Kluyveromyces lactis: one gene and its partners. Each later gene encodes a partner of the first gene's protein in a complex. Links are inferred from orthologs where the notes say so. Each region holds a gene or a part of one and is shown in the gene's direction. Other genes may lie near its edges. The genes, in order: RRP45, SKI6, RRP42, RRP46 and RRP4.

Region 1 (6,440 bases):
TCTCCATTGTGTGCTCATAGATATTGTTAGATGATCTGCTTCACCTAGCGAATGTCCCAATGGGAAACTTTTGATAAATGACGACACACTACTGACAAGACACATTTGAGTAAAGCTGGTGGTACCTCCAAATAAATTCGAAATATACGCCAAAATTTTGGCATCATCTCCAGAGTCTTTTGGGTCATATTTGAACTCCGGGTCATCTGTCACCTCTCCTATAAAATCTTTCAATGAGATGACATTATTTTGATAATCATTCCTATGTTTAATAGACCGATCACATACAATAATCCATTGGTACCACTTTTCACTACCATTAAGGTACTTAACTGATTCCCAGTCATTGATAAATATGATGTCCACTTCCAAATCGTTTCGCGGAATCGAATGTAAAAACCAAGGTATACAATCTTTCAACGACAGCATTAAGCCGGCAACGCCGACTGAAAATCCCATTGATGAGTCAATTGACGTAGCTATTCCAATCTTCTTAGCACCTATACTTTCAACTTTAACCACAATTCGTTTTGCTATACCATTTATTCTTGTAAGGGTAGTTTCTTCGGTATGGAATTGCAATACAGTCGACTTGCCATTTGTCATAATTGCAGACCATAAATCACCAAAATTACCATTCCTGAGCCTATATCCTAAGCTTAGGTTTAAACCTGTAGTCAATGGAAAAGAAGCTGGGACTAATAGGTTTCTGTAAATAGCAGTTTCATGTTCCTTTCTTACGGACTCAACATTTGATTGTGCGTTCAGCGAAATTGTATGTAGATCTCTTTTGGAGTCAATAATAACCGAATTGATAAACCAAACAGTACTAGCGACGATTACCAAGATAGCAACCAAGTATTTTGAGAAGGTGATCCAGTCCACCATCTTTTGGGAGTGAGTTTACCAACAGCTGTTATTTTATGTAATTACGCGCCGTGCATTTTACTTTGCGTAAACTTCTTCAGTAATTTCAAGTTCCGATATGAATCAGTGTATATATATATATATAATATTTCAGATCCATAAACGAGGAAGAATTGTCAGTTAAACAAAAGTGAAATCTCATAACAAAGCAAATTACATGCCCCTTCCTTTTTGTAGCTGTTCGCTGTATTAAGTGTGCAATAGATTCAGAACGACAGCCGCAGCACACAATTGCGTACATTCATCCAATACTTGGTATATTCCACTGACATTTACAACATTTAACGTGAACGAAACGCGTAAAAAGCATTGTTAACTATCCTAATTAACGATCAAACAACAATCCCCAGCTACATTTCCTTAGTGAATATGACTGTTGAGAAGGTAATAAGGAAAGGATGTCTATTGGTAGCTTTGCCAAATTCAGTGGATTCTCCTGTCGAAATATTTGAACTTCCACATCCATCGAATAACGAATCAAAGAAACCTATCAAACTGTTTGTACACGACGATAAAGTATACCAGCTTAAAATCAAAAAGTTCAGTAAAGGCTGTGACTATAATTGCTCGCGAGATTTAGTGAATGATAAATATCATTATACTTCAGATTCGCAAACATTTAAATCCACATTTTTGATCAATGAAGAGAACAGGAAAGATGGACACATACTAGAAGATGGTTCGATACTATATGCCGAAAAATATGACTTAACTTTTAATATATGTGGGTATTATTATAGGAACAACAAAGTTACTAGTGAGGATCTAGCGTTTATTACACCTTGCGTTCCACCCGCACTCGATATGGATACTAACTTTTATACTAGTTCTGATTACCAAGAGAAATTAACGAATAATCACAGTGAAAATTGGGAGAAGATACCTCCAAAATTATGGGAAAGTTGTCTCGGGAAAATATCACATACAGTGGAAGAAGCTGGTGACAAGTATTATCGTATCGAACCTCAAATGATAGTAGAATGGCTACTGAAGAAAGTCATCAAAATCAACAACAACTTCCCTACTTCTCTTAAAATACCAAAATCGCTACCTGAAGATATAGCATCATCTCTGAAATGCATAATGTCGTGTAATCTTCTAGTTTCCTTGATCCCACAACTCGCATACCAGGATCTAATTAGACATGAATCTTCAAATCTTAACATCAAACAATGTTTCGACTCATACGACAAGTACAAGAACGAAACATTACAAACAGAAAGGGAAAGAGAGCTCCTTATCAAAGCTGCTATGTCTACAGCCATTCCAAATGGCACAAAAACCGTAAAGAAACAACCTATTCAAAAGGCTAAAGTTGTGAAACCAAAGGTTGCTAAGGGTAAAGGAAGAATTGACGGATTCTTCAAAACTAACAAAACATAAGTAAGGGCATATAATAATTTCGTAGAAATATCAGTATTGGATAACCTCTATCATTTTGACCTAAAGCTTCACATAACATGCCGTTGTTGAGCTCTAAAATAATTGATCTTCTTCCACTTAATACCTGTCTACAGGGTCTTCCTCCTAGAGAAACTCGCATCAATTTTGTTTTTATTCCTTTTTCATCTTTCTATCATATCAAATGAGACAAAGCTTATGAAAGATTTAGAACTATAACACTTGAAAAGTTAAAGAGTTGCGATGAGCAGCACTGAAAGAGAAAACCATAGCCGAAGAGAGCTTGCATTCGCATATCAAAATAGTTAAATCGATAAGAGGTGATGGCAAAAGATATAGAGATCAGTAATGCTGAATCCAAATTTATCCTGGAAGCGTTAAAGCTTAAACAAAGATTAGATGGACGTTCATATGACCAATTCAGAGATGTGAAGATCGAAATAGGTGAAGCATACGGTGATGTGACTGTTACCATGGGTAACACAAAGGTACACTGTCGTATCAGCTGTGAAATTGCACAACCTTATGAAGATAGACCGTTTGAAGGACTTTTCCATATAAGTACCGAAACTACACCGATGGCAGGTGCTCAGTTTGAGAATGGGAACAATACTGGAGAAGAAGAGGTATTGATCAGTAGGATGATTGAGAAAGCTGTAAGACGATCAGGAGCATTAGATGTAGAAGGTTTATGCATAATAGCTGGCTCCAAATGTTGGTCTCTTAGAGCTGATGTTCACTTTTTAGATTGTGATGGTGGACTAATCGATGCCAGTTGCATTGCTGTAATGGCTGGGTTACTTCATTTTAAGAAGCCCGACGTTACTGTTCTTGGTGAAAGAGTGACGGTACATCCGATTGATGAAAGAGAACCTGTGTCACTAGGTGTTTTGCATGTTCCAATTTGTGTGACGTTTTCATTCTTCAATCCAGACGATACAGAAGAAAATATCAAAGGTGAGGACAATGCAGAAATATCAATCATCGATGCTTCCTTAAAAGAGGAGCTATTGAGAGATGGTGTGCTTACTGTGACGCTTAATAAAAACAGAGAAGTTGTTCAAATCTCCAAAGCAGGTGGTTTGCCGATGGAAGCTTTGTCGTTGATTGATTGTTGTCATAAAGCATACGGAATTGTAGAAAAAATCACTGATCAAATTCATCGTGTTGTGAAACAAGATACCATTGCAAGAAACCAATACGCACACATTTTGAGCTCTGAAAATGCTCGTGAAACTTAAGGAGCATTGTATCGAAGAACTGGAAGCTTTTCTTCAATTATAGATTAATGCTTATGGTTGTACCATATCCCAAGACACTTGGCAGCTAGAAGTCGTTTAATCCATGCCGTTCAGCGCGTTTGATATTGTTCTGTACTATATGTTGTATGTATGAATATACAAATAATGTATCTGTTTGGTGGATATATGAGAGTGTATGCTGTGAATATCTTAGCGATAGTGAATCAAATATAAAGTCTGGTCATGTCTCTTTCTGTTGAGGAAGTCACTGATTCTTCCCGAGCGTTAAACTTTACAATATGTATTAAATTTGGATATCTGTTCAAGTCGTTCTTTTCAAATTCGAATCCGTTTCGTGAATTAAGTTCGGGATACAAATCTCGTTCATCCAACATCATCATGTGTTTGTCAATAGAAATTTGTGTCTCTGGTGCAGAATTCAAGTACCGCTCTTCTGCCGCCAAAATGTTCTTCGAATTAGCCCAGTATGTTACTGTACAGTATATTATGAATAATAGCACGATACTAACAACAACAAATAGAATGTAGTAGCCGCATATGTACAATATTGGATTATTCCGTTGATCCCATAAATGTGACATTATAATCAATTCACCACAAATATGTCCCAAAATCCATCAATTCGAATAAAGCCTTGAGTGTTTGGAAATTCAACTCCAGTGATCAGGAAGAGTTAATACAATCTGGTATTAGTTGGTATGTACTTTTCACATCGGGTTCTACTTACCTGAATTTAATAATTTATCGATTTATTGTGACACATGACAGAGGTCGGTGATATAGAATATATTGTTCTTAAAGAAACGAGAAAACAAGTTGAAACGGACTGATGTATGACTTTTACTGCAATGAATAGGGGCAAGTTGCGAATACCTATCAATTCGATCATAACCTAGTATATATTGAAAAGTAGTCTCTGGCCAAACCTGTTAGGGATGTCATGTCTTGTCAAGTCAGAGGGACTTTTCAAGGCTACTAAATTTGATATCTCTGCACTAACAAAACCCAAAATATGGAAGAGACGTCTATCTGCTAAAATTGGGGGAATAACCATTAAATGGATGATGAGCTTGAGCCTTAGCTAATTGGCAGGGAAGTTTCCCCGCCGTTCCAATGTCCTTAACAAATTTTGTTGTTATAGTTATTTTATTTCCGTATAACGTGGTTTGATTGTAAAAAGCAACAAGCTGTTCATGCTTAGGGTAAGCTAATACCTGGAGAAAGGGCACAGGGCAGAATTCAGTTGGCTTTTAAAGTTGACACGTCTCCCCCCATTTCAAAGGTGGATTCTTCTCCATTAGTATAAATATCAAGTATGTATCCAGATATACATTCCTCTTCTCCTATTCTAATGGTCAACATATGTCAGCAGGGTTCCTTAATTTCATTAGTAGGGTGCTTAAAAGAGAAGTAAATTGTATCAATTTGACACATATAATATCCTTCGTAAACAGTTGAACAAGCAAATCTCTGTAATAATGCCTTCTATTGCTGTTGACTACGTTCTTTTCGACTTAGATGGCACATTGGTGAGTTCCACCGATGCGGCTGAAGAGGCTTGGAATAAGCTCTGTGACAAGTATGGTGTTGATTATTCAACACTTTCTAAGGTCTCACATGGTTCCAGAACTGCGGAGATCTTAGCGAAGTTCTTTCCTAACGTTGACAACACTAATAATCAGGCAGTCAAGGAATTTGAACTTTCTATTGCCAATGATTACATGGATATCGTTTGTTTGATTCCAGGTTCTATAGATTTACTGATCTCGTTGGATAGACCAACTGGGGCACACCCTGGTGAAGTTTTCCATCATAGAAAGTGGGCTGTAGTTACCAGTGGATCGCCTTGGGTTGCTCATGCATGGTTTGACAACTTGTTAAAATCCATTAAGAAACCAGAGGTATTCATTACTGCTTTTGATGTTTCAAAGGGTAAACCTGACCCAGCCGGTTTCGCTCTGGCCACTAAACGTTTGAAGGAAATATGGCAAGATGACAGAAAGGAGGTAAGAACGGTGGTTTTCGAGGATGCGCCTGTTGGAGTTCAAGCTGGTAAGGCCAATGGCTCAATTGTAGTTGCCTTAACCAGTACTTATGATAAGGAGTTATTATTTGCAGCGGGCGCGGATTATGTGGTTGAAGATTTATCACAAGTTTGCTTGCAGTCCAATAATAAAGATGAGACTGTTCTAACCATCACTGATCCAATACCTAGAGGTGAAGAAGCAGAATATGGTGATGACGATGATGACGATGATGACGATGATGATAATGATAACGAATAAAAAAAAAAAGGCACACGTCAGCCTCACTCAATGAAACATGGTATGACATATCCTCTCAAATATGGAAATTGTCTGCCTTCAATTTGATAAGTATATACATGAGTAAATATCTATAAGTATTAAAAAAATGTTTGTTACCTTTAGTAATGATTTTCGGCCTTTGTCTTGTTTTCAGCATCGGCTACTAATTCTTGATACTTTTCGTAAAAGTGGTAGAGCTCAAAGCATACTTCCACTGTGATCAAATAGATAATGATCCATTCTAGCCTGGTGCCCTTCTTTTCATTCAAAACAGCCATCAGTGCCCTTGCTTCGTCAGTGGCGTAATCAAGCTTAGTGTTGAGAATACTTATACGAGGTTGAATATCCAAGTTTCTTGATATCTGGCGATAAAGCTTCTCTAATTGCGGTTCGCTCCAATATAAATCCGGAGTTTCAATCAACTCGCTATAAAGGTTTAATTTACCTCTCATCAAAAACAACCTTCCAGTGGATTGTAACACAGCTTTTTCACTGATATTCAATTTCTTACCTCGGGATAAAGACTCCGTGAACTCTCTTGTCT
Region 2 (6,144 bases), on another chromosome or scaffold:
GTAGTCCTATGTGAGCCTTCTTTACTTCTAGAAAGACTCATACCTTGTCGGTGTGATTTGAGCTTTGATCAGAAAGTGCGGCAGAGCTCCTACCTCTTCCTTTCAGTCCTGTAGAACTCTCATAACCTTTAAGTTGTTTTTGAAACTCAACCTCTAAGGCGTAATAGTTTGTCAGTTTCTCCAGTGAATTTGACTTCTTGACTAGTTCCACGTTTTCCGCCAATCCTTTGGTCTCTTCCTTTTGTCTAACTAAACCTCCCATTACAGGCACATCCTTCGCTTGCTCCCATGGCTTCAACCGTGGTTTCAAGTGATGCTCTGTAGCCAAAGATTGGTCTAGTATGATATCTGGGACATCCACTACGTTTGGGACTGGTTTGTTATTAACAATGATATCCATCAACTCATCATAAGAGAGCTCGGTGGCTTCCTCCTTATTCTCCATGATTTAATTAAAATAGTTCCACTTTGGTGGATCCTAGTGAAAAGTAGGCAAAACTTTCAAACCAACTGCGCTCCTTGACGATTTAGGTGTTCTCTTCATCGGTTTCCCATCTTACTTATAATCATCTTTGATTCTCCGAGAAACCTTTAAGTGACTTTATATTTAAATTGTACTTTTTCAACATAATGCCATGATTTTGGCATTACATACCAACCTTGGGGAACCACATTTCGAACAATAAAATCATATCTGAAGATCATAACGACTGCTTGCTTGCTTGAAGCCCGCCATTTTACTAACAGGAAATGCATAGAAAAGTAATCTTATTATTAACAGTCTCTTTACTACTTCGAATTGGATTCTTTTCTTACGGTATTTTCCAAGACTCGCATTTTGACGTTAAATATACTGATATCGATTACTTTGTCTTTCATGATGCAGCTGGTTACGTTAACAATGGACAATCCCCTTATTTGCGTGATACATACAGGTACACACCTTTATTGAGCTTCTTGTTACTACCCAATTATTATCTAAAGTGGATTCATATGGGGAAAGTCTTCTTTGTTTTATTTGATCTCATTACAGGTGTGATGATCATAAAACTATTACAAGGTTCATGTCAATTGACAAAACAGCTAATTCTAGCTTCTATTTGGTTATTGAACCCGATTGTTATAACGATAAGTACTCGAGGAAACGCTGAATCGGTTTTATGTTTTTTGATCATATGTGCTTTATACTTTTTGAAAAGAGACAGGTTACTTATTTCAGGACTTTTCTATGGGTTATCGATTCATTTCAAGATCTATCCGATAATCTATGCGCTACCGATCGGAATATATCTCTTGTTGTCGAGTCACAATAGAAACTGCATTTGGCGATTGTTCATGATAGGGATATCGACGCTAATCGGCATAACTGCGCCGACGTATTTCATGTACAAGCTTTACGGGAGCGAATTTATCGAACACTCGTACATGTACCATCTCACGAGAACAGACCACAGACACAATTTTTCGATTTGGAACCTGGTCTTACTCTTAGAATCTGCTGGTATTCATCTTTCCCAATCTATCGAACTATCTAAGCTGGCATTCGTTCCTCAATTGACACTATGTGCAGTACTACCTTATCTATTGTGGAAATCACAGACGTTCGAAAATTTAATGAATGTCCTATTCGTACAAACATACGCATTCGTTACTTTCAATAAAGTATGCACTTCTCAATATTTCATTTGGTATTTGGTATTATCCCCATTTTATTTCGCAAATACAACCATTACATGGAGAAAAGGTGTGGTCTGTATATTTTTATGGATATTGTCTCAAGCCGTATGGCTTTCACAAGCATATCTACTTGAATTCAAAGGCCAAAATGTATTTTTCCCCAACTTATTCTTTGGCAATATAGTGTTTTTCCTCATCAACGTCTATCTACTCGGTGTCTTTATCACTGACATCAAATCCAGAACGTCATTCCAAGACAATCAACATAAGAAGAATATATAATTTTAACTTAGCATATACTGTAGCGTACTGTGACATTTTCAAAGCCACGATCGAAGTCCTGACGAGTATTTTGATGTTCCATTCCGTTCATCCAATTTCATATCCGTTGTCAGATTCACTCGCTGCTGTTTTCTTCATACTGATTATTGAAATAGAATTTGAAAAAAAAAAAGTATTCAAGTTTTGAATCTTACAAGTGAAATATGAGCTCATCGACATCTACTAGAAGAAGTACATTCAAAGCAGAGGCTGTCAGATTGAAATTAGCCCCTCCAGCTAGCGTGTAGGAAAACCCACTTTAACTAACAGAGTAACATAATGTCACGTTTTGAAATATATTCTCCAGAGGGATTGCGTGTCGATGGTCGTCGTTGGAATGAGCTAAGAAGTTTCAACTGTTCCATCAACACTCACCCGAATGCTGCAGATGGATCCTCGTACTTGGAACAAGGTAACAATAAGATTATCACATTAGTTGCTGGTCCTCAAGAACCATCCTCGAGGTCACAAGTCAATACGAAACAAGCTACTTTATCCGTTACTATTAACTTAACGAAGTTTGCCAAGATGGAAAGAAGCAAATCAAGCCATAAGAATGAAAGAAGAACCTTAGAATGGCAAGCTTCGTTAGTGCGTACATTTGAAAAGAACTTGATGCTTCATCTCTATCCTCGTACGTCAATTGACGTTCAAGTTCATGCTCTACAGTTAGATGGTGGGATTCTTGGGGCAATGCTTAATGGAATAACATTGGCTCTGATAGATGCTGGTATCGCAATGTATGATTTTGTAAGCGGGGTTTCAGTGGGACTTTATGATACTACACCACTACTAGACCTTAACTCGCTTGAGGAAAATGCAATGAGCAGTGTTACCATAGGCACAATTGGTAAATCAGAAAAATTATCTTTATTAATGGTGGAAGATAAAGTGCCTTTGGATAGACTTGAGAGTGTCATGGCCATCGGAATAGCAGGCACTCACAGAATTAGAGATTTAATGGATAAGGAGCTTAGAAAGCATGGAAAAACAAGAGTTGAAAACTCTTCGAATTGATTTTTAAACCATTAATTATAAACTTCACATAACATGTAAACATAAATGCATTCTACAATTCGGATCTTGCCTTTAACTACAATTTTTTACCTATAGATGAGAATAACCCCTTAGATTTTTCTCTCATGCTGCTAGAAAACATCTTCTTCTTCAAATGTGTAACATTTTGGTTCACCGTATTTGCGACGCTGTTCTTTTTACTCAAAATATCCGCTTGAGCATAAGCATCTTGAACATGTTTATTGACTTTGTAGTCTTTGAAGATAAAATCCTTATCAGATGTGGTAGAAGACTTCAAAGCATATTGGATCCAGCTCTGGAGTCCGGAGTCATATTCTTTTAATTGTTCCTTGTAATTGTTTAATTTTTTTAGTTTTTGGGAGTGAAGCTCATTACTGCTTAAAAGCTTGACCAAGTCTAGATTCGGGACAGTTGACTGGTGAACCACTGATGGAATTTCATCTCCTTCAGAACTGAATGCTTCTTTTAATTTTGATTCACCTTTTGGAGCTTCACCGTTCACGTGTTTGAATATAGTATCGTTACTAGAAACGTAGTCAGTAGATTCATTGGTAATTTGTATGTTCGTAGGGAGAGCCGGAGCAGATGCATTATTGGCAATCAGAGCAGGAACGTTATATATGGTTTGATTGTCATAAATTGTTTTAGTGTCAGCAATCGTCTTGAGGTCGTCATCATCTGATGCAACGTCATGTGGAAAAGCATTAAATTGACTTTCTCCGTCTGATGCTACCGATGAATTGCGTTGAATATTGGATGTTGTGTTTTTGTTCACTTCAACAATTTCCCCGTCCTCATTTACGGTGTATCCTTCGGGAGGATTGTTGATATCGATGGTCTCAGTAACAAAACCAGATCGGAATGCATCGGTGTCTGGTTTCCACTTGCCTAGATTGATTGACTCCCTGGTTGAGAATGCTAATTTCTGTGGGCCGTCTTCCTCGTCTTCAGAGCTGTCAGAATATCCTCCGACGTCATTTTCAGAATTCTGATCTGGAACGTCCGATTGGGTTATAGAGGATTGACTCAATCGTTTCGTTACGCTCTCCGTTATCGAATTAACATCGCTATCAGCTGTCAGTCCATCTGTATCGTTGTTATTCAATGTATGCCTATCTGAATCGTCGATTTCCTTGTCCTCATCAACCATCGCAGCGAAATAGCCACTTTTAGTGACTTCTAAATCTCCATCCTCATCAGTATAATCTATGTCATCATCGCTTGAATCGAGAACAGAGTTCCTGACAGGGTTTCTGAATTTAAAAGATTCTGCAGAATGAACAACATACTGTCCCAGGCTAACTTCGGAAATAGCACGTTCCTTCTCTTCGCCAGAAGACTCTGATGAATACCCGTCGTGATATGACAGGTCTGTTTTGGATGTTTTACGAAGCTTTACAGGCGACGCATTGTCTTTCATCAAACTTGGTTCTGAACCATAACCATTTAGCAGTGAATCAGAATCATTGCTGTCTCCTTCTTTTGAGTGTTGAATAGACAACTGGGATTCTGACGGAAGACTATTAATAGAACTTGGAGGCATCTCTTCTTTATCTTGACTTCCAATTGATTCTGGATGACTGTCTGATTTGGACCAGTTATCTTCATCTACCGCGTCTTTACTGCCTTTGTCATCTGAAATTGCAACATCACCCTGTATTCTAGAAGGAATTTCAGTTGTTGGGTCAATCATTTCGTCTTGCAACTCCACTGATATTTGGCTAGTTTCTACTTCAGAAGCAGCATTCTTGAAAAGTTCTACTTCGGTATCATCTCCTTTAAGGGGTTCTTCCTCTGCACTGACTATCTTGAAAGGTTCCACTTCAACATCAGCTCTTTTAACCGACTCTGCTTCAGAATCATCTCCCTTAAAGGATTCTTCCCCAACATTCACAATCTGGACAGGTTCAACTTCAACCTTAGCTCTCTTAACTGATTCTGCTACAGACTCAACTTCACTAACCGATTCTGCTTTCGCATTATCTGTTTTGTTAATCTCCGTAGCAGATTCAGCTAGCTTGGCCGATTCTATATCACTTTTAACAGATTCTCTGTCATCCGTATCTTCATCGTTTACGTATGCGGCAAAATAGCCAGTCTTCGATACCTTCAATTCTGCATCATCTTCATCCTCTGGATCACTGGTATTGTTAACGTCCTCATCTTTTGCAGTCATCTCTTGAGATATTTGATGCATTAGAGAATCTAGATCATCATTGACAGATTTATTTCCTGATCTTACAGATGTATTCAGAGAGTCAGATCTTAGGCAGGTGCCAATTGATGGATCAGGTGAGCTAGATTTTGCAATGTTGTTAGATTCAGGAATATTTACCTGTGGTAGTTGCGGAATATTATTCGTTAGGCCCTCATCCTCAGAATTAGATGAATAGGCATCCCAATCAGCACCGTCATAGTTTGCCTTTGACGCGCTAACCCATCTCTGGGACTTATGCCTAGTAATGTTATCACTCATTTTCGCGTTATCCTGATAGTGTTGCCTTGCTATGTCGTCCATAAAAGAATCCTCTTGATGTCCTTAACTTTCATTAAAGTGGCTTAAACTTAATCCCAAGGTTTTTGTTTATTATTTAATTTACTTTTCTTAAAAGAATGATCTAAATTGACACGAAGATCACAAGAAATTTACCTTGAAACGCAGATTTGAAAAATAAATGTGTCAGAGACAGGTCAAATCTTTTAAAGTAAGGTACCATGATGGATGATGTATATTAAAACAAATATGGTAAGCTTCCTCGATGAAAATACTGGTGGAGTAATGTTGCCAGTAATAATACGTACAGTATGTGAAATTTGACTAATATTCTATGCATTTATATATATATATCTTTTAATTTTTAGTATGAAAGAAATAATCACTCTACAAATGGACGTCCTGACCGTTAGCAAAAGATATTAGTAAATAGAAATTCAAACCGGAGATGAAGATCCATACAATGACAGCAACAACCGTAGTGAAAATGCTGTTACTGAAATCTTTGTAATGAACAGACTCATCTGATAGAGGTTCAGGGGAATTAATTAGATGAGCGTCCACCTCATCATCAGTATCATGAGCAATAACGGTAGCATCATCTGTGGCTAAGT
Region 3 (6,201 bases), on another chromosome or scaffold:
CTCAACTCTTTGCTGAAAGGGACAAAGTTCAGTTCCCAGAGAAGGACTTAGGCGGGGAAATCCAGCCCAGGAGAAAGGAAAGCAGAAAAGCTGATGTGATTTTTAACAAGTAGTGTTGCTTTGGAGCTGGAAAAAGTCAGCATAGTAACGTGCGCATCATACACTCTGATTTGCAATGATGGTGCCTCGGAGGGGTGGGTGTCATATGTGGGGCGTGATATCTTACCGTTGGGTATAAATAGTAAGAGAATAAACTCTGGCTTAAATTATTGTTATAAAAGGCTAGCTTGAATATATAGTTAAGGATACCGATCTTAATTCATCTCGTACTTTCCAACCGAAACAAGACTAAAAAGTGAAAAAACATACATAGCTAAGGATAGACTTAACATAGAAATATGGCACATTCTTCTGGTATTCGTAGACCAATTCAGATTCAAGAGTTCGTGATTGCTATTAGAGAATCGTCTGAGCATGAATTACAAGAGATCAGAAAAGAGATCAATAATGCAGTGAAGCATTTACAAAGATCTAACAGAAGGTTAGAAGCGTACGTTGCCAAGCTTAAGGGTGAAGAGGTATTGAACAGACAAGAATTGGACGCGGAAGGGAATTTTTCCGATGATGATATTGATGAGAAGGATTTGCAAGTATTCCAAGACTCATTAGCGGAAAATGGAAAAGTATTGGATAATTATAACGAAAGGCTACAAGCTTTGGACCTAGAAGAACAGCACAGGGCTAGCACTGTATCTTCCGGTGACATCCAATCGGCGTCCACAAAATTAAAAAGATCTTTGCAATCTCAAGGCCGGAGAACCGTTGGCGTGGATTCAGATAATACTGCTGATGCCACTGGTTCCAATAGCATTAACTTATGAACCCATTCCAAACAAAATATATATAATGTACTCATATATTGAAGTATAGTAAAAAAAAAATGAATGAAAGCAAAAATGCATGTTTAAAAGTGTGGGCTGGTATGACCTCGGAAAACTGTATACTTTCAGAGATGAATAAACGCACCCGTTCTGGTTTCTTTCTCTTAGTTTCGGGCTGGTAATCTGCTGGGAAAAACCCTGGAATGAATCTGCTACAGACCATTCTTAACATTTAGCTTTTTCTGTTTCCAGCAGGCTGGGCCGTTCTCTGTGGCATTCATTTTCTTCCATCTGTAAACGTCGATGCGAAAAAAGTCTATCAGGTTCACGTTAACATTTCATTTCATTTTGATATGATCGACATATATACTGTGCCATGGCATGAAAATGTTAAGAACACTTTTGGAGAAAAACATACAGAGAGTCGTTTTGACAGCAATTATTCGGTTGGAAAAGTGGGAACTGCCTGGGTTAATGATTGGTCTCCATCTATAAAGCATCAGGTTCAATTCAAATCGAAACAATTCTTTTTTTCCCTTTAAGGTTGTTTCTCAGTGCTTCATACGTGTTGTCAATATCTTTTTGTGTTCTTATTCGGCCAGACAAAATTTTTTTTTTGGGTCTAATCCACAGCTTTCGCTTCAGTAATTAGATTGTGGTCTTTTCGTTTGTTATTATACCCAGTTCATTTCGTTCCAGCTAGTAATTTTTTTGTTCTTTTTGTTTAAATGGTGATATCGTTGATATATGTCCTTTTACTGATATGTTCAGTTGTCTCGGAGACCCTTAAACTGCCGATAAACCCAAATCGATTAGAATTCGATTTGTGGCCATATAAAAAATGGGAAGTTGACGGCTCGAGTGACGCGTCTAGTTATCAAACTTGTTTCGAAATGAATACGAATATTAAGGCCAAGGATTTACAATTCCTCATTGAAATTGAAGAATTTACTAAATGGAAAGTTAATGTGGATAGGTTTGGTCCAACTACGAGTTCAAAGGGAAAACAGGTTGTCAACATGGATATTTATGACGAAGACCAAAATTTGGTACAGTCAAGACATGGTTTAGAGAATGGGGAAACTGTGCTTTACGTGAGCGTATACGAACATCAGAATTTCCAAATATGCCTTATCAACTTTTCATTAGACTCCTCATGGAATGCCATAGATAGTGTGAAGCAAGTAGCAATTAGCATCACGTCTAATGATCTGATTCAGAAACAGAAGTGGGATTTGATTACTGATGATGATCTCAATTTGTTATCCCAGGGTAGAGATGACCTGTTTTCGTTGGTCAGTGCGGATTCTGGCCAGGAATTGCATGCTTTAGATGTCGATCATAGAAATCTCAACGAATCAACGTTCTCTTATCTACTGGCAAAAGTCACAATATTATTCTGCATCATTGGAGTATGTCATTTGCTGGTATTTCCAATCTTACTGTATAGAATCGTTAGCAAAGGGCAACCGACCAAGAACAAAAATAAAATCAAAAGATAAGGAATAATTATGTCCATAAAACAGTTGATGTATTTGTATATATATTAAACATCAGCACCCTGTATCAGTACAACTTCAATATCAGTCAGTCAGCATTCATCGTATGTTAGTACTTCGAACCGTGACTGACACCTGACAGAACATCTCACTAATGGCCAATTATATCCGGGTAACACCGAATATTAATGTGCATTAGCGAAAAGAAGAAATGAAAAATCTGAACTAATTTCAGTATTGACTTATATGAGCTTGAGATGAGATGCAATGAGATGATGAGAAAAGGCTTATTTCCCTTCTATCAACAGCAATAGAAACATCTGAGTTTAAAGCGAGTTATCTTCTCACGAAGCAGACCCATCTCGTTAAAAAAAAAATCAAATAATATAAGAAGATAATGGGACTTTCGTTAACTGAAAAATCGTTCCTATACGATTCTCTAACATTAGATCCCCCATTAAGACCGGATGGAAGAGGTCCACATCAATTTAGACCATTGGAAGTATCTACTGATTTCCTTCCCAATTCTAATGGATCCAGCCGTGTGATATTAAGCGGAGGAAGCGAGTGTATAGTGAGTGTAAAAACTAAAGTCGTGGACCATACGGTAGAACAAGAATTGCTTGTTGCTGATGTCGACATCCAAGGCCACAGAGATGACTCTCCATTGGTTACCAGCATGTCTTCACTATTATCCAAATTGCTCAAACAAACTATTGATCAGAAAAAGCTAATGCTCACGAAAAGGTACAGTTTCAAACTTTACATTGACGTTTTGGTGCTTGCCTCCAAATCATACCCGATCTCAATGATATCTTTCGCCATTTTCAGCGCTTTGAAAAACACATGGCTACCGAAACTAATATCGAACGACGATGACTTAGAAGTGGAGGAGCTACCCACATTCCATGATTACGATATGGTTAAGCTAGAGGCAGATGCTCCTTTATTGTTTACGTTCGCAATTGTAGGAGACGGTGTTTTTGTGGATCCAACTTTTGAAGAGAGCATAGTATCGAACAATGGCCTTCTAATTACGTGGTACAAAGATAAGGTTACTTCTCCGATAAGATCTGTTGGCTTGAATAACGATAATATCAAAGGGTTCAGTCAGCATCATTTAGAACAAGCGTTCAAGTTAATTCGTCAATACGCACCACATATTGAAAAAGCTTTGGATGCTTCAGATTAAGGAACATTTAAATAGTAAATAGGTACTTTTCAGGGTGTTTATTATAAATGCATATCTATAAATGCTGGATCGAGTACGAATGAACGATAACAGCTGTTGCAGTTTGGATATTCATGGATCTTATTACCCCAGATTGTTTGATTTCTAAGCATAAATCCAACTCCTTTAACAAATGCCCTGGAATACCATGAGCTTCTGTTCCTAGTAAAATGACAGATTTTGATGGAAATTTAAATTCAGAATTCAGTTGAATGGAAGAATCAGTCTGCTCCAATCCAATTAACGTATATCCTTCCAACTTCTTTGCATTCATGTAAGATATTATACCATCGACAGGAACTTCTTCAATAGGCATCCAGCGGTCCGCTGTAACCGCAACATTTTTGAATTGAGGATGCTGTTTGACTCTAATATCATGAATTGTCATAGTACCGACACCCAACACGTCACAGAGTCTACAAATACCTCCGAGATTGGGTGCTTTATCCACTAATGAAGCTACGACAATTAATTCAGATCGTGCAACAGACTCAATGGATTTTTGATTATCGAAATCCAAGACAGCTTCCCAAGCACCACTCTTCGTTTGTAGGGGCGAGTTTTTTGCTAACTCAGTTGAATTTACTAGATTACTACTTCTTTTGGTCAACCATAGTTCACTCTCTTCCGATCCTATTTCAAATTCACCGTCATCGATGTTAATGGCTTTGAATATCTTACTATTTATATATGGAACTTTATGATCCATAATTTTCAATAATACGCCGCCAAATATACTTGTTAACTTAAGGTCGTTATTGATGCTCCAAGTGTTTGCGTCACCGGCTCTGAATTGACCTTGTACTTGGATCTTCTTAGCATCGCTGTATAGCTTAGAAATAATGGATCGCAAAATATTATCTTTGATGTCATCTTCAAAGGTTGGCCAAAACAAAAGAATGAGGGAATTAGAGAAATGTCTAATTAATGGTTTGTTTGAGGAGCAATTAGTTATCAGTTGTGCGACAAATCTTTCCATTGGCCTGAAAAAATGACCTGTCTCCTTCGCTGCCTTCAAAGATAAGAATAACAAACGTTCAACACTTGCTTGTAAAACAGGACGAGAGGTGTCTTCTAAAAGTTTGAACAGAAAGTCCTCATTTGGATTTTTATGATTATCTGTCGCTGTAACCCATAGGTCATATGCAATGAACCATTCTGAATAAACTCTTACTAACGGAGACGATTCTTCCACAAGAGAAGGAATGATATAATCAGAACACAAACCTGTTAGAACATCTTTATCGACTGATTTGATCGATAGAAGGCACAGTTGCCATTTTTGTAATCGTTGAATTTCTTCTGGTCCATCAGTTTTTTTCTTCGCTTTTAACATGTTAGGGTCTTCTTGGAGCATCACCTGCAAAAATTGACGTCTAAACTCCTTGCTTGAATATAAAAGAGCTTTAATTATGCGTGATTTCGTAACCACTTCTGTTGCACCATAAACAAACTTGTATAATCCTCCGTCAATATATAAACCAAGCTTGGAATCAAATAGCTTGGCAATTGCAGGTTTTAAATTGTAGATGTTGAGATTCATACTTTCATGAGTGAAAACATCAGATAGCAACCTAGCAAAGTCCGAATATTGCTGGTTTGGTAGTGAACTTCCATACACTTCCATAAACCCTAAGATTTGCTGGCTGAGAACTGGTTTCAATGTTCTCCTCGAAAAAGATTGATCTAAAATGGCAGTTGCGTAATGAAGCATGATCTTGAAAATAGCCTGATCATTGAGGGCAGATAAGAATGTCGTATAATGGAAGATGCCTCTTATGAGAGCCAAATGCAATGGTTGTTGATTGAGTACCAACCTCTCTTCTATTAAAGAATCCCATATTCTGCACTGTAAACCCATTGCACTATTCAAAACATGTTTCTCCATATCAGTAAGCTCATGCAGTGTTGGGAGAATGTAGACATCTAATATTGATTGACAAAGATAGCTGATTTCAAGATTTCCCAAATAATTTCCATTATCCCTTTCGGCATTTTCTTGCAAGAGATCCAATAATGTATTCAGCTGTTCTTCAGTCAGGGGAGATGATTTGATGCAAATTCTTAGCAACTTGAAGAAATTTGCATAAATTTCATCTTTTAGCTTGAAAGGAAGATTGTTTTCTGATCTTATGTACTCCCCAATTATGCGGTATAAATTAAGCAAATTTTCAAAGGATATGGTGATCTGAGAAGGACTTTGCATAACCTTATCAAACAATGATACAAAAAAGTCGAATTTATCAGGTAAAAACTCGGAGAACAAGCTCTTAAAAATTGGCAGAGGATTAATGGCACCGTAGACAGCTGGCGTAAACTGTGGTAGGTCCAAAATGACTTTAGCTTCCTTGTAGTTATTACTTTCCATTGTCACTAACTCAGTTAAGAAAGCATAATATTCTTCTGATAAATCGGAATAGTTACAATCTGCTTTGACGATCTCAATCAAAAATTGATCCGAGATTTCATAAGGCTCACAATCAAATAATTCATAGGCAAGTACTTGGTACAATGCGTCTTGTGGAACTTCATATCCTTCTAAAGATTGATTATAGTTGACAATACAAAAGTCACGGAAACTGCCTATTGT
Region 4 (6,237 bases), on another chromosome or scaffold:
CCAGGATAACCTATAAGAAGCTAGAGGTGGGAATAAGACCCGTTGAGATAACAGGAATAGCGCATGATACCCGACGGCAATGTACAACACAGTGTGTAAATTGGATAGAATCACATTCGAAGTAATCCATCCATTGGATTCGAGATATGGGATCACGTACTCGGTCAAATGAGGGTGCGGAGGTAAGGACATCACATAGGTCGTGAACAGATCTATCTGTTCGGAAACAGCTGCTGGAACGACGCTGCTAAACAAAGAACTACTCATCTTTGGTTATTGAACAGGCAACAAAACTCTCAACCTCGAGGGAAACAGTACCACAGCTGCTGGTCTATCCGTAGTAGCACAAAGCCTTTTTTTCTCCTTCTGATCTAGTTCCGTTTGAAGTGGTGAATGTGGATTTACAGTAATTTGTTCCATAAAGCTGCTCGAGAGATGCCATCATAAAATACGAGATGAGACAAAGATGATATATGGTAAAGTACGCAAGCTATGGACCGTACATTCTGGCGTTAGGTGGCATGCACTTTCAGAGTACTAGATTTCTAGTTCATTGATGTATTTATATATATATATATATATATCGGTAAATTCTATTCGGTAGTTATAAATGGGGAGGAACTCTTAGTTCTTCTTTGCACTTCTTCTCTCAGTGGCTTCTGCTGCGTCCTTATTGGCAAGCATCAACGCAGCACGGTTTAGTTGAACGACGTTGGCAATCTGCTTGAATATGTACCCTGGAAGACACACCAGCGCGATGATAGCTCCGATATGGGTGGATCCAAGCAATGGGAAGTAATACGATTTGAACTGAGGGAAGGCGTTGATATATAGACCCATGTAGAACATTTCGTTCAACGCACAAATCGTGAATAGCACCTTACGTCTCGTGTAGTATAAGTTGAGAAGCCATTGTTCCTTTTCGATGGCCTTGTGCGATTGAGACCCTGTGCTTAGCGTTGCGTACATGTGGATATAGTGGCTTGAAATGTCCAAGGCAACTAGTAGTTGGAACACGGGCGACCATACCGGATATGCCACGCATAGGAAACAGATCAATGCTGTGGTGGTGGATCTATCTGTCACCATATCCAGCACAGCACCGAATGAACTGATCTGGCCGTACTTACGTGCCATTGTCCCATCTAGTGCATCTAACAAACAAGACACTCCATACACTACCATCGTCCACAACGGATGCTTGGCCATCAAAACCAACGATAAACACATCGTCACCACACGCACATACCCTATCTGGTTTGGGATGTACCATAGCACATCTCTAGCGGTGACAGCGGACATTTGAAACTATTTCACGAGATTATTCTTGTTAACTCGTCGAGGCTCTTAATTTAAGTAGTTTCCAGAAACAATCTGCACAACTTCGCAATAGTAACACCAAAAATAAGAATTACCACTTGTACTTAGATCCTACGCGTCAATTGCAGCTAGAAGTGGCGCCGTACCGACTGGTTTTGTCGTCTCTTTTTCTCTTTTGCATCAGCCATCGGTAAGTTGCTTTGATTCGTTTGGAAGTTATCATTAAATGATTCTGATATTGATCACGTGACTTATACACAGTAGGATATTCCTCTACATCAACTATATACTGGAGGTAAACACGCTCTCTGTAACATCCTCCGTTGGTATGAGATATATCCACAGTTGTCCTATGGAGATCTCCCCCAGCGCTGTCCGTGATCAAAGAGATCCATTGTGCGTTCATACACGAAAAGACTGATTGCTGTCGTTGGAACAGATTTACATAGTCCCATTGTAAGTCCTCGGTACAACGCTGATACACCCTCCTGTCTTAGTATCTTGTAAATAATTGCAGTGGATGATTTATACCTGTACTCGTGGTAAACAGCAGGGAATTTGGTGAAATGAACTGTTCTCTTAGAGTTCATCACTTGCATTCTGCGACGTAAAGTGTCAATGGGGAACACCATCGTCTTGGATACAAACCCTGCGATGATCCCTGAACTAGCACTTACAGGTCGCGACCAGAATTCTTTCTCGTGGTTTTCACAGACTATATTCACGGTCTCATATGTGAGAAACATGATAGCCGTGGATAAAGTAACCGTTGTCATCGCAGTGGATATTCCAGTGAAAAAACCTCGTACACCTTCATTGAGCCACATTTGTCGGCACTCCTCTGCGACACTGGTCCGATGGCTCGTTCTGTTTGCTATAAGTCTTGTCCGAAGCAAATCTAGCGGGTAAGATACCACTGAACTAGTCATTCCTGCCAACGCTCCGACCGTTAGCGTTTGTCCCTGCTGTGAAAACCGAGGGAACTTCGCAGACCAAACGTTGTTGAACCACGAGTAAGATCCGAATTGTACTGCACCGTAAACAACGTACATCGCCGTCGCCGGGATGTTTCCTTTCCATAACGCTCGAAGTCCTTCTTCTTTCATTATAGTTCTCACAGTAGATGCAATTCCCTTATATTTGTCCTCTTGTACCGGTTGTAACTGATATCGTATTTTTACAGTATCCATTGGTGCAGTTGCCATCCTAGCAAATACCCCAGAAACAGAACCAGCAATCACTGAATTGTACCATGATACCGTTTCACCTTTCCTGAGATGGTCTTTCCTTATGCCAGTGTTCATTCTCTCTTCGTCATTAAATAAATCCCTCTCTCTTGATGGATTGAAGATTCACTGAATGCTGGTCTCTCGCTCCCTTCTCAGAACTTAAATGAAGCCAGACCTACACACAATCTCCTTATTTATAAATTACCACATACATGCCCTGCTAAAAGGGTCTCTGGCACATCAATTGCATTGCATCTCCAACCTCTTAGTTTCATATCTATTCATTGCGTATCCTAAAAGTGAAAAATTTCTGAATTTGAAGCTCATCTCATCTCATCCTGACATAACATTCAAAAGATGGGGAAAGAGGGACTGTAGTGGCTCATTACCGTCTATACCGACTGCGTATTGATTGTTATATTGTACCTATAGTAATTTTCTAGCCAAGATGGAGACTACGACGCATGTTTTGGGCCATGTTGATGGCTCTTCTGTTGTTTCAAACAGCGGAACTAAAGTTATCTGTTCTGTTTCGGGACCCATGGAACCTAAGTCTAGGCAAGAGTTGCCCACACAACTTGCATTAGAGATCATCGTGAAGCCTGCTGAAGGCGTACAGAGTACGAGGGAAAAGTTAATGGAAGATCAGATCCGTTCTGTGTTGACCCCAGTGCTTGCGAGATACTTGCATCCACGTCAATTTGTGCAGATATGTCTCCAAGTATTAGAAGCGGGAGAAAGCAGGGATTATACTGTGAAAGAAGTCAGTGTATGTGTTAACGCAGCGGTGCTCGCATTGGTGGATGCTGGTGTACCGTTACTCAGTATGTGTTCTGGTACTTGTATTGGTATTACCACTGAAGGGAAGCAGCTGGTGGTGAACCCAACAGAATCGCAGCTAGCTAAATGTGAATCGGTCCACGTATACTGTCTAGAGCTGGGCACGAATGAGAACGGGGATATAGATGTCAGGAACCTGCTTCTTCTTGATAGTTTAGGCAGCTTTGACGAGTCACAGTTGTTTAAAGTGTTAGAAACAGGTGAGAAAGAGTGTATACGGTTATACACAGAGTTGAGATCAGTGATCAAGGATAAAGTCGCCAAAGATTTCGTCTGGAGACAGTAGTGGGTATACCTGCACCCATGGTTCTTTATAAATTAACTTTATAATTAACGTTATCATCTTTATATACAATTTATATATATTTGCATTTATATAATTCGCATTAGCAGCGGCAGAGAGAGTAATCTAATCTATTGGACAAATAACAAAACAATTCTACAACTTCAATGCTTCCAAGTTAGCGATGGTAGCTTCCAAGGTTTCGATTTCAGCGGCAGCGTGCTCTGATCTTTCTTTGTTGAATTGCTTCACTTGGTCATTGGCCTTTTGTTCATAATCGCTGCTGTTGACAATCTTATCAATGGCAGATTTAGACTTCAAAGTCTTGTCTAGCTTCTTTTGGACCTTGGAGATTTCTGCATCGATATCGACGTGACCCTTCACAAGCACATGCACGTTAACTTCTGGGTTGACAGATTGTAGCACACAACCTTGTGGGATATCAGCAGCAGATTTCACAACGGAAACTTCATCGATTGCCTTAATCAAAGAGACGATAGAATCTTTTTGAGATTGGACAGTGGAGTAGTATGATTCATTAGCAGATTCAACAAACACCTTACCGTTTTTCAAGATGTTATATTGTGCCAACAAGGAACGAGCATCCTTTGTGACGTTTAAGATTAGCTCGTATTCCTTAGCAGCGCTTGGATTGTGGAATTCTTCCTTGAAAGTTGGGTATGAGCTCTTAACGATAGTTGGAGAAGTTTCGCTGGCGTATCTTGGTAGATGTTGCCACATTTCTTCAGAGATGAAAGGCATGAATGGATGGATCATTTTCAATGCATTGTCGATCAAGATATATAAGGTATCCTTAGCAGACTTTTGTTGAACTTCTGTACCTTCTTGAATCAAGTACTTGGAGTTCTCAATGTAAACATCACAGACCAAATACCAGAATTCATAGATGGCTGAGGTGGAGTTCAAGAAGTCACGCTTTTCAAATGCTTCGTTGACATTCTTGGCAGTTTCAGTCAATTCGTGCAAGATCCATTTTTCAACTAAGGATTCATTGCCAGAAAGAGCTTCAGAAGCTGGTGGTTTATAGTCATCTCCCAATCTCAACAAAGCAAACTTGGTAGCTTGGTAGATCTTGTTACAGAACTTTCTGTAACCTTCAACACGGAGAATATCCAAGTTAATGTCACGACCACCAGTGGTGTATGCACAAAGAGCAAATCTCAAAGCATCAGTACCACATTCTGGGATACCGTGTGGGTAAGATTCCTTTTGACCATTCTTTGCCTTCTCGACTTCTCTTGGATCTAAGTTACCTTGCAACAATTTAGCATGTAGATCCTCTAGCTTGATACCAGAGATAACATCCAATGGGTCAACAACGTTACCCAAGGACTTAGACATCTTACGACCCTGAGCATCACGAACTAAAGAGTGACAGAATACTTCCTTGAATGGAATAGAGCCGGTCAACTTTAGACCTAACAAGATCATTCTGGAAACCCAGAAGAAAAGAATGTCCCAACCAGTTTCCAACATGGAAGCTGGGTAGAATTGGCTCATATCTGGAGTCTTATCTGGCCATCCTAAAGTGGAGAATGGGTATAGACCAGATGAGAACCAGGTGTCCAAAACATCTTCGTCTTGTTCCAAAGTGTACTTCTTATCAGCAAATTTAGTGGCTGCCTTAGCTTCGGCTTCTTCCAAGTTTCTACCTGACACCCAGAATGAGTTATCGTTACGGTCGTTTTCTTCACCTTCAATGTTCACGAAGTAAACAGGACAACGGTGACCCCACCATAGTTGTCTAGAGATACACCAATCTTGAATGTTTTCTAACCAATGGAAATATTCAGATTCCGAAGACTTTGGTGTGATGGTAATTTCACCGTTTCTAACAACTTTGATGGCTTCTTCAGCCATTTGCTTTTGCGAGACCCACCATTGAGGCTTCAATAATGGTTCAATGATATCACCAGATCTCGAACATGTTGGAATAGTCATTTCGTTGTCTTTTTGACCAACGAACAAACCCTTTTCCTTTAACTTTTCGATAACTAACTTTCTAGCGTCGAATCTCCTAGTGCCCTCCCATTCAGGACCACAGTTTTCGTTCAATAGACCATCATCGGTGAAGGTGTTGATAACTTCCAGATTGTGACGAAGACCGGTGTTGTAATCGTTTTGGTCATGTGCAGGGGTGATCTTCACGGCACCAGTACCGAATTCCATATCAACGGCTTCAGCATCGCATACAATTGGCATTTTACGATTCAAGAAAGGATGTTGAACGAAGTGGCCATGTAAGTGCTTGTAACGTTCATCGTCTGGGTGAATAGCGACAGCAGTGTCACCAAACATAGTTTCAGGACGAGTAGTAGCAACAATTAATTTTTCATCGGAACCAACGACTGGATAACTGAAAGAAGTCAAAACACCGAACTCCACCTTTTCATCGTAACCTGGAACAGACAATAGAGTTTTACCTTTAATGTCCTTGTTTTCGACTTCAAGGTTAGAAATAGCAGTGTTCAATTTAACGGACCAGTTAACCAAACGAGCAGCACGGTAGATGATACCTTCTTCATGCAATTTAACGAAGGCTTC
Region 5 (6,858 bases), on another chromosome or scaffold:
TCACTGGTATGTTGCATTCTATTTACATTGCAATTATGTATCAAGATAGTTAGATAAAGGCTAGTGACTGTGGTAGTTGGAAACTAACACAGAACATTGGTTTCGTTGGAGCGACTTTTCTCACTAAGTGGAACTGGAACTGGTTGAACGGAAGCTCTTGCTCAGTGGTCTTCATTATTTGTAGTATTTGTTGGTAGACCCTTTCGTGTAGTTGTTCCATGGATGGTTCTGGTTGTTCTTCCGCATCGTATTTATGGAAACAATGACAATGGATCCATGGGGTTTGGAACTGTTCGCCGTGTTCTTGAACCATCTGTTCGTATGTGAACCCGTACCTTGAATATAATCCGACGAATTCATCAAGGAATTGAAGAGCACTGTCAGGTAAGTTCATCACGTAGTGATCGAAGAACTGGTTTTTGATTGGGATCTTGGTTTCAGGAGTACGTTTAGTTTCTCCCGTGACTTTATCCTTGTACTTCTTACCTCCTGGCACCGTGATGACTCCCTGTACCCTTTCGATGAATTGTTGTAGTAGCTTGGGACTATCTCTGATGAATTCGCGGCCATCGAGGTTCAATGGTTCAACGAAGTTACCCACCTTATTGTCGATGATATTTTGCTGCATGTACTTGTAAGATTCTGGGTTCAAATCGTTACTTAGAACGATGACCTTCTTCTTTCCTGCTGGAACTGAGAATGGCCCCACCCCAGCAAACACATCACCAACTATTTGGCCCGGTTTGAATAGACTCACTAACCTTGCATGTTCTGTATGTAGTCTTGAGTTCCAGTACACTTTACTGAAATCGAAAGTGAATGAACAATCAGATTCCCTTTGAGTCACTAGCAGGTTCGGTTCACCCGCTAGGACGTTCATTTCGAAAGTTCTGAATTTGGTAGCAATGGAATCCACTTTATCGACCACGGTCTTGATCGTCGAATTCTTGTCCAAGATGACTTGTCCAATTATTTCACCAAACGGTTTGAACTCTTTCCTTAAATTCAAATGAGCTACGTGTCCCACAATAGTGAACCCAGTAGGAATCTCAGCAAGGTACTCCTCTGGTAAAATTGCATTTAGAATCTCTTCCACTTTCCAGAAGTCATAATCTAGCACATACTCATGGTTTCTCAACTCATACTCTTGCTCATCAAGAAATTCTAGTGCATTGGAGGTCAACTTCCCTCTCGCCTGCGAAACATCTTGTATACTGTCTTTTAGTATGATACCTTTGGTTATATGGTTGTCATTGGCCAGGGATTTGCTTTTCTTCTGTACTGGCTCGACATCGTTCTTATCAGTATCTTCTTTTGGTGTTTCGCCAAGTCTTATAACGAATGGAATTCTTGGTGTCCTTAATATATCGTCCTTGAACTTCTTGGTGAAGACAGAAATATTCTTTGGATTCTTCAATAGCAATACAACAACAGGAAGCTTCTTTACGAATAATGATTTATCTAATTGTTTCATGCCACGATGCACTGGTGGTTCATATTTGAACGTAGTTTCAATAGCTCTACTCATTGTTCTTCGAAGCACTAGGCCAAACCTCATAAAACTAGTCCTCCTCTATCCTTGAAAAATGGAGCAAAATAGTGTGCTATCACTTCACCAAATAAAACGCTGCCTGACGGTCGATCTTTGCTGCAACATTTTTACATCTTTTACAACGCTCATCTCATCTCATCTCATCGCTCTCTTATTTAATTTGGAAAATTTTCAGTTAACTAACACCAAAAGTAACAAAGGTACAGCGAGGAAGTCAGCACATCGAACGCCTTCTGCAGTCCCTGACATCGTTATATCATTACTTGGAACAATGAGTGATGTTATTAGTGTTATCAATAGGAACGAATTTTGGTCTAATGGCCGTTTAGAACAGGATGAATATGAATCAGATTCCAGCTCAGGTTCAGAGCAAGAACATGACATTGAGATGAGCGGTGCTCACGATTCCAATGGTGGAATAGACCATCAGGATGGGTCTATTGTCACACCTGGTGAATTAATAACCGATGATCCTATATGGATGAAGGGTCATGGTACTTATTTCTTGGAAAACAAGACATACAGTTCTGTGGTTGGCACAGTATCGAGAGTGAATAGATTGCTATCCGTTTTACCATTAAAATCTCGTTATATTCCCGAAACAGGTGACCACATCGTGGGTAGAATCACTGATGTTGGTAATAGAAGGTGGAAAGTGGATATTGGAGCCAAACAGTATGCGGTTTTGATGTTGGGTTCTGTTAATTTACCAGGTGGTGTATTGAGACGTAAGTCAGAGACAGATGAGTTGCAAATGAGAAACTTCTTGAAAGAAGGTGATCTACTAAACGCTGAAGTCCAATCGTTGTTCCAAGACGGTTCAGCTTCATTACATACCAGATCGTTGAAATATGGGAAACTAAGGAATGGTACGTTTGTTCAAGTCCCAAGTTCCCTAATAGTGAGATCTAAAAATCATACACATAATCTTCCAGGGAATGTCACCATTATCTTGGGTGTAAATGGGTTCGTATGGATAAGGAAATCCTCCAAGATGGATCTTTCCGGTAAGACCACTACTACAGGTTCAGGACAATCTGACCATTTACCAGGATCCAACAATGCAATGTCGGTTTCCATTACAAGATTGGAAGAAGAGAGTTCTTGGGAAATATATTCGGATAAAAATGATACTGTTACTGTAAGCGTTAGGCAAACAATCACAAGATATGCAAACGTAATTAAGGCGTTAGCACATTGCGAACTCGGTATCACTGAGCCAAGAATAATATCCGCATATGAGGCTTCAATGGCTTATGGTAACTTGGGACAGTTAATTGAATCGGAGACGATGGAGTCCTTAGGTCAAGACGTCATCAACTCAGAGAAGATGAGGGGAGCAGCATAGGTTGTAATCGGTAATATTAATATTTACATGAAGTAGTATTTTATAAATAAAGTGCATAATATTTACAAATAATAAAATCTTTTCGATAAGAGTACCATCATTTGGATGTCTCAGATGTTGGTTTATTATGGGTAGCTTGTAGCGAGTCTTGCTTCTTTCCATCGTTTGTGAAAGATTCAATTCTGCTCTTAACACTAGCACCAAGATACTTTTCAAAGAAGCCAATTTCTTCTTTCTTCTTACCGTCACCTTTACGCTTGGCAACAATACACCATGTCGTACCGAAATGTGTTCTTCTTTCTTCGACGACATCCAATCCAGAATCGTCAAGGATTTCTCCGATATCCAAGTTCCATCTACAACCCCATGTCTTTAAACGTTTCTCAGCTCTATCGTCAAGAATTTTGTTGATTGTATCGTATGAACCTCTTCCGTGTTCCAAGAGAATGATTCTACCGCCAGGTTTCAACAATTCAGCAAAATTCTTCAAAGATTTTACAGGATCGTGATGTGAACAAAGACCAAACGCTTCAACAATAGTATCATACTTAACAGGTGTCTCCTTCGAGTTCAAGTCGATCAAATCTTCCGCTTTCCCTACAACAAATGCACATTTCTTGAAATTGGGTAGTGCTTCTCTGAATTTTTTATTTGTGATTTCCATCATCTTTTCCGATGCATCCAAGAATGTGATTGAGTTGATCTTCGTTGGGTCTAAATATTTGATATTCCTACCAGTACCACAAGCGACTTCGAGAACATCTCCTTTACAATGTTTCATGAGCCACTTACGTCTTTTACCCATTCTGATCATCATTTCTTCAAAACTCACACCCTCATCGTACTCTTCTGCCTTCATTTCATAGAAATCAGTGGTATCCCTAGCAGGTAGAATTTTCTCGTTAATCTTGTTTTGATCGTTGTTTTCCAAGGTAATCTTATCCAAATTCTCAGTCCCATCTTTCTCTATAATCTTTTGGTATTGTTTCAATTTCTCCACATCTCTTGTTCTTAACGTATTTTTTAGTTCCTTATAGCGCAACAACTCATATTCATTTGCTACTCCCATATCAATCTTTGCACTAATATCTTCTAACTCCTTGTCCTTCTTATAAAGCTTCTTGGTATAGTTTAACCCATATAGAATGAACACCACATATGCGGCAAGAATGTATTTCGTTAAAGCTTTCGAAAACTTCTCGGACCTTGCAATGGCCCCGTACCTAATAATCCAGTTGTCAGATTTCAAATCCGCTTCATGCTTCTCCCTAGCAATCTGCTCCTTTGATTTAGGCTTCTTGTAAACGGAATCTGGAGAAGGTATGTATGTACTTTTGCAGCGTACAAGATCAAGAACCTTATATCCCGAACCTAAGCTTGGCCCACATTGCGTTACTCTCAATGGCCCCCGCAAGAAATTGCGTCTGACAGCAAACATTAGTGAAACAGATCACAGGTGATTCTTGAGACCCTGTTAAAACAGACCAGAAGACCATATCGGAAGGCTGTTTTGTCGGTTCTTTTGCGTTAACTCAAGATAAAGAGAGAGCGAGATGAGACGGTTTCGAGGTTGAATCGATCTTGAAAAATTTAGAATATCACGTGGTACAATTGGGTTGAGTGAATGTCTTAATAACCAAGTGGTGTTGACCCAATCCAACACCACTGACAACAATGAATTCTCATGCAGTTGGCTCAGACTCGAGGTTATGAATATATACAGATATCTATTGTTTTTATAAAGTGTTCTATTCGCTAGCAAAAGTGGCAGCGACGACTAATGGGAAAACGACAGTGGCATCTGCATAGACCTTAACGGACTTAGCGTCTGCTTTAATCTTACCCCAGGAAACAGCCTCATCTGGTCTTGCACCAGCATCAGAACCGTCAAATTCTTGACCCGTGTTGATATAAACAGCGTAATCTGCACCGTTTCTCATCAAACATGCGTTTGCGATGTGATGTTTGATTAACCCACCACCAAGGATAATCATACCTGCCCGTGATGCTTCCATAGACATAGAGTTAATCTTACGAATATCAGAAACAATATCTAGTCTCAACTGTTTAGGAGATGCCTTGAAGGTATGGAAAAACAACATATCACCAATGGAACCATCGGTGACAGCAGGACAAAAGATTGGGATATCGTTCTTATAAGCCCAGTATAGAACACTGGATTCATCGTTGATCTCTTTACCTAACCTACGGATCAACTTGGAAGGAGTCCATACCGGAGAGTCTTGATCGAAGTTGCTATCCAAACAGTCTTTACCCTGAGATTCGACGTAGTTTTCTTGTTCTTCAAGCATCTTGTCCAAGATTGGAACGATCCATTCTTCAAACTTACAATAGTTGTCGTTAGGAACCAGCAAATTACCAATACGGTTCATACCTTGGTCACGTAACCCTTTACCAGGTAAAGAAAACTCACCAAGGTAAGTGTCAGCCAAACACTTGATGATATCTTCTTCAACACCGCCTGCAGTTGCAACAATGGCATCGACCATCTTATTCTGAACCAAGAAACGTAAAGTCTCACGCAAGCCAGAAGAAATCAAATTCGAAGTGTAACCCATAAAGATAGTAGTCTTTTGGTACCCATCATTGTCAAAAGAACCCTTGCGGTCATGTTCTTCCAACTTGTCACGATGTTCACCTCTCCAGGATCTCATCTCATCGATAATATCGCAGGCTTTTCCCAAAGAAGACGCCTGGAAGCCCATAGTAGCCATCGATTTAATTAAATCCTTAGAACGCATGTTGCGTGATTCTGGTTTGCTGTAATCAATACCTTCGACCTTAACAAAATTATCAGGCACTGGAACAGATTGCTTCAACACAGCATCGCTTAAGATGTCAGGTAATTTACCGTCAATGTTGGACATCTTTTCGTTGTAAGTTAGTAGGTAAGTTGGTAGAGCACTTCTTTCTGAACAATGAAGCTCCAATCGCCTAAGTATAATGTGGTGAATCAGGTTATAGATCAGAGTTAATACCGTCTTGTTCTTACAGTTGTAAAGTTCATGCGGTGAGAAGTGAAAAATTCCTAAAAGGTAAAGCCTTTTAGTTTTATAAATCTCTAATCTGGTGACGAGATGACAAGTCAAAGAAACGATGCTGCACCACGATTAAACACATGACCTACTTTTTGGGTTTGCCTTGGTTCTTTGTGTGAAACTATGGTATGACTCTATTGTTCGTTGGTAGAGGCAATGCTAATGTTTGCTATCTCCTTTCTGGTGAAGTGTACCGTATCAGCTTAAGGCACCAGAAACTTTCCAGGAACAATGCATATGTGCAGGACAACTTCCAGTTTATCGATTCCAAGATCAGGTCACTTCCTATGTTGGCCGATGTGGTTGTTTCCATGAGGTTAGAAGAGGTGTTTGTCGATACAAAATGGATTAATGTGTTGAAAGATGAGAATATCTTAATCGATGATAGTCATATGCAATGCATAGTCATGCCTTTATTGCATGCCAAGGATAGTACATGTGAACAGTTGGACCATTTCAATCAAATCTATCGATGCTCATTGAATGATGCTATTACTTGGGAATTCAAGCCAAAGTGGTTGTATCAATCTAGTGATTATTGTAGGAATTGTACACATAACTCGCTGAAGGGAAGAGATATTGAGTACTGTTTTTTACATGATCCGGAGCTGATTATCGAAACGCTGTTTGCAGGACGCCAAGTGCCAGAAGAATTTCTTGATGACATTCTGCAGTATCTCCAATCAAGTGACAGTATTACACAGAGGCTCTATGCTGCTCAGCGTTTTGTGAAAGATGATTTGTCAACGCTAATGACGCTAAGAGATGTGACCTGTTTCTTGACCTGGTCCCGCAATACAAGGAGCGTCAAGGCTACGATAATAGATGTTGATCAAAAACCAGCAAACAAACTGCGGCATTGGCAGAGTACTGAATCCGCTCTTGCATCTTTCCCAGGA

Evidence for each region.
Region 2: the proteins of RRP45 (region 1) and SKI6 are in contact, whole or in part, in a crystal structure (PDB 5OKZ), measured with the Saccharomyces cerevisiae proteins. The link is inferred for Kluyveromyces lactis from reciprocal best matches to the Saccharomyces cerevisiae genes RRP45 and SKI6. Residues at the interface, in NP_010566.1 of Saccharomyces cerevisiae: Thr97, Glu99, Asp100, Val102, Leu103, Ser105, Arg106, Glu109, Lys110, Arg114, Ser115, His191, Thr206, Glu207, Asn209, Ile210, Lys211, Asn215, Glu217, Asp232, Leu239, Arg243, Glu244, Val245, Val246, Gln247, Val248, Ser249, Lys250, Ala251; in NP_011711.3 of Saccharomyces cerevisiae: Arg95, Arg96, Leu98, Glu99, Thr102, Ser103, Val105, Arg106, Met107, Lys110, Phe155, Asp156, Val190, Glu194, Lys195, Leu196, Ser197, Leu198, Leu199, Leu200, Val201, Glu202, Asp203, Lys204, Ile205, Pro206, Leu207, Asp208, Leu210, Glu211.
Region 3: RRP45 (region 1) and RRP42 share a complex: the UniProt entries of both Saccharomyces cerevisiae proteins name them as parts of the RNA exosome complex. The link is inferred for Kluyveromyces lactis from reciprocal best matches to the Saccharomyces cerevisiae genes RRP45 and RRP42.
Region 4: the proteins of RRP45 (region 1) and RRP46 are in contact, whole or in part, in a crystal structure (PDB 5OKZ), measured with the Saccharomyces cerevisiae proteins. The link is inferred for Kluyveromyces lactis from reciprocal best matches to the Saccharomyces cerevisiae genes RRP45 and RRP46. Residues at the interface, in NP_010566.1 of Saccharomyces cerevisiae: Lys3, Asn53, Lys55, His57, Arg59, Ser61, Ser80, Glu82, Ile83, Ser84, Pro85, Met86, Ala87, Gly88, Ser89, Glu92, Asn93, Arg135, Asp137, His139, Leu141, Asp142, Cys143, Asp144, Leu225; in NP_011609.2 of Saccharomyces cerevisiae: Ile9, Leu10, Asp11, His12, Val13, Ile27, Cys28, Ser29, Thr31, Ile34, Glu35, Lys37, Glu49, Ile51, Arg53, Pro54, Ala55, Lys56, Gly57, Val58, Ala59, Leu87, Gln89, Thr91, Cys92, Gln93, Leu95, Glu96.
Region 5: RRP45 (region 1) and RRP4 share a complex: the UniProt entries of both Saccharomyces cerevisiae proteins name them as parts of the RNA exosome complex. The link is inferred for Kluyveromyces lactis from reciprocal best matches to the Saccharomyces cerevisiae genes RRP45 and RRP4.

Annotation. Positions count from the first base shown.
Region 1 is NC_006039.1:951,406-957,845, forward strand, and holds RRP45 (exosome non-catalytic core subunit RRP45), read left to right. Parts: upstream 1-2,651; coding exon 2,652-3,569; downstream 3,570-6,440. Other genes in the region: DDE1 (Dde1p), read right to left, coding at 1-888; RNH202 (Rnh202p), read left to right, coding at 1,297-2,310; KLLA0_C11121g (uncharacterized protein), read right to left, coding at 3,794-4,171; KLLA0_C11143g (HAD family hydrolase), read left to right, coding at 5,069-5,875; MRX10 (Mrx10p), read right to left, coding at 6,016-6,440. UniProt on the Saccharomyces cerevisiae protein: Non-catalytic component of the RNA exosome complex which has 3'->5' exoribonuclease activity and participates in a multitude of cellular RNA processing and degradation events.
Region 2 is NC_006040.1:810,644-816,787, reverse strand, and holds SKI6 (exosome non-catalytic core subunit SKI6), read left to right. Parts: upstream 1-2,277; coding exon 2,278-3,015; downstream 3,016-6,144. Other genes in the region: KLLA0_D09669g (uncharacterized protein), read right to left, coding at 38-445; GPI14 (glycosylphosphatidylinositol-alpha 1,4 mannosyltransferase I), read left to right, coding at 751-1,959; FYV8 (Fyv8p), read right to left, coding at 3,092-5,554; divalent metal ion transporter SMF2, read right to left, coding at 5,918-6,144. UniProt on the Saccharomyces cerevisiae protein: Non-catalytic component of the RNA exosome complex which has 3'->5' exoribonuclease activity and participates in a multitude of cellular RNA processing and degradation events.
Region 3 is NC_006041.1:821,715-827,915, reverse strand, and holds RRP42 (exosome non-catalytic core subunit RRP42), read left to right. Parts: upstream 1-2,777; coding exon 2,778-3,572; downstream 3,573-6,201. Other genes in the region: TMA17 (Tma17p), read left to right, coding at 399-881; RRT6 (Rrt6p), read left to right, coding at 1,610-2,383; TRM3 (tRNA (guanosine(18)-2'-O)-methyltransferase), read right to left, coding at 3,628-6,201. UniProt on the Saccharomyces cerevisiae protein: Non-catalytic component of the RNA exosome complex which has 3'->5' exoribonuclease activity and participates in a multitude of cellular RNA processing and degradation events.
Region 4 is NC_006040.1:1,264,190-1,270,426, reverse strand, and holds RRP46 (exosome non-catalytic core subunit RRP46), read left to right. Parts: upstream 1-2,997; coding exon 2,998-3,675; downstream 3,676-6,237. Other genes in the region: ALE2 (Ale2p), read right to left, coding at 1-267; PIS1 (CDP-diacylglycerol--inositol 3-phosphatidyltransferase), read right to left, coding at 625-1,302; thiamine transporter TPC1, read right to left, coding at 1,671-2,624; VAS1 (valine--tRNA ligase), read right to left, coding at 3,829-6,237. UniProt on the Saccharomyces cerevisiae protein: Non-catalytic component of the RNA exosome complex which has 3'->5' exoribonuclease activity and participates in a multitude of cellular RNA processing and degradation events.
Region 5 is NC_006041.1:1,126,427-1,133,284, reverse strand, and holds RRP4 (exosome non-catalytic core subunit RRP4), read left to right. Parts: upstream 1-1,586; coding exon 1,587-2,900; downstream 2,901-6,858. Other genes in the region: TRM5 (tRNA (guanine) methyltransferase), read right to left, coding at 50-1,558; OMS1 (putative RNA methyltransferase), read right to left, coding at 2,998-4,338; DYS1 (deoxyhypusine synthase), read right to left, coding at 4,649-5,788; IPK1 (inositol pentakisphosphate 2-kinase), read left to right, coding at 6,088-6,858. UniProt on the Saccharomyces cerevisiae protein: Non-catalytic component of the RNA exosome complex which has 3'->5' exoribonuclease activity and participates in a multitude of cellular RNA processing and degradation events.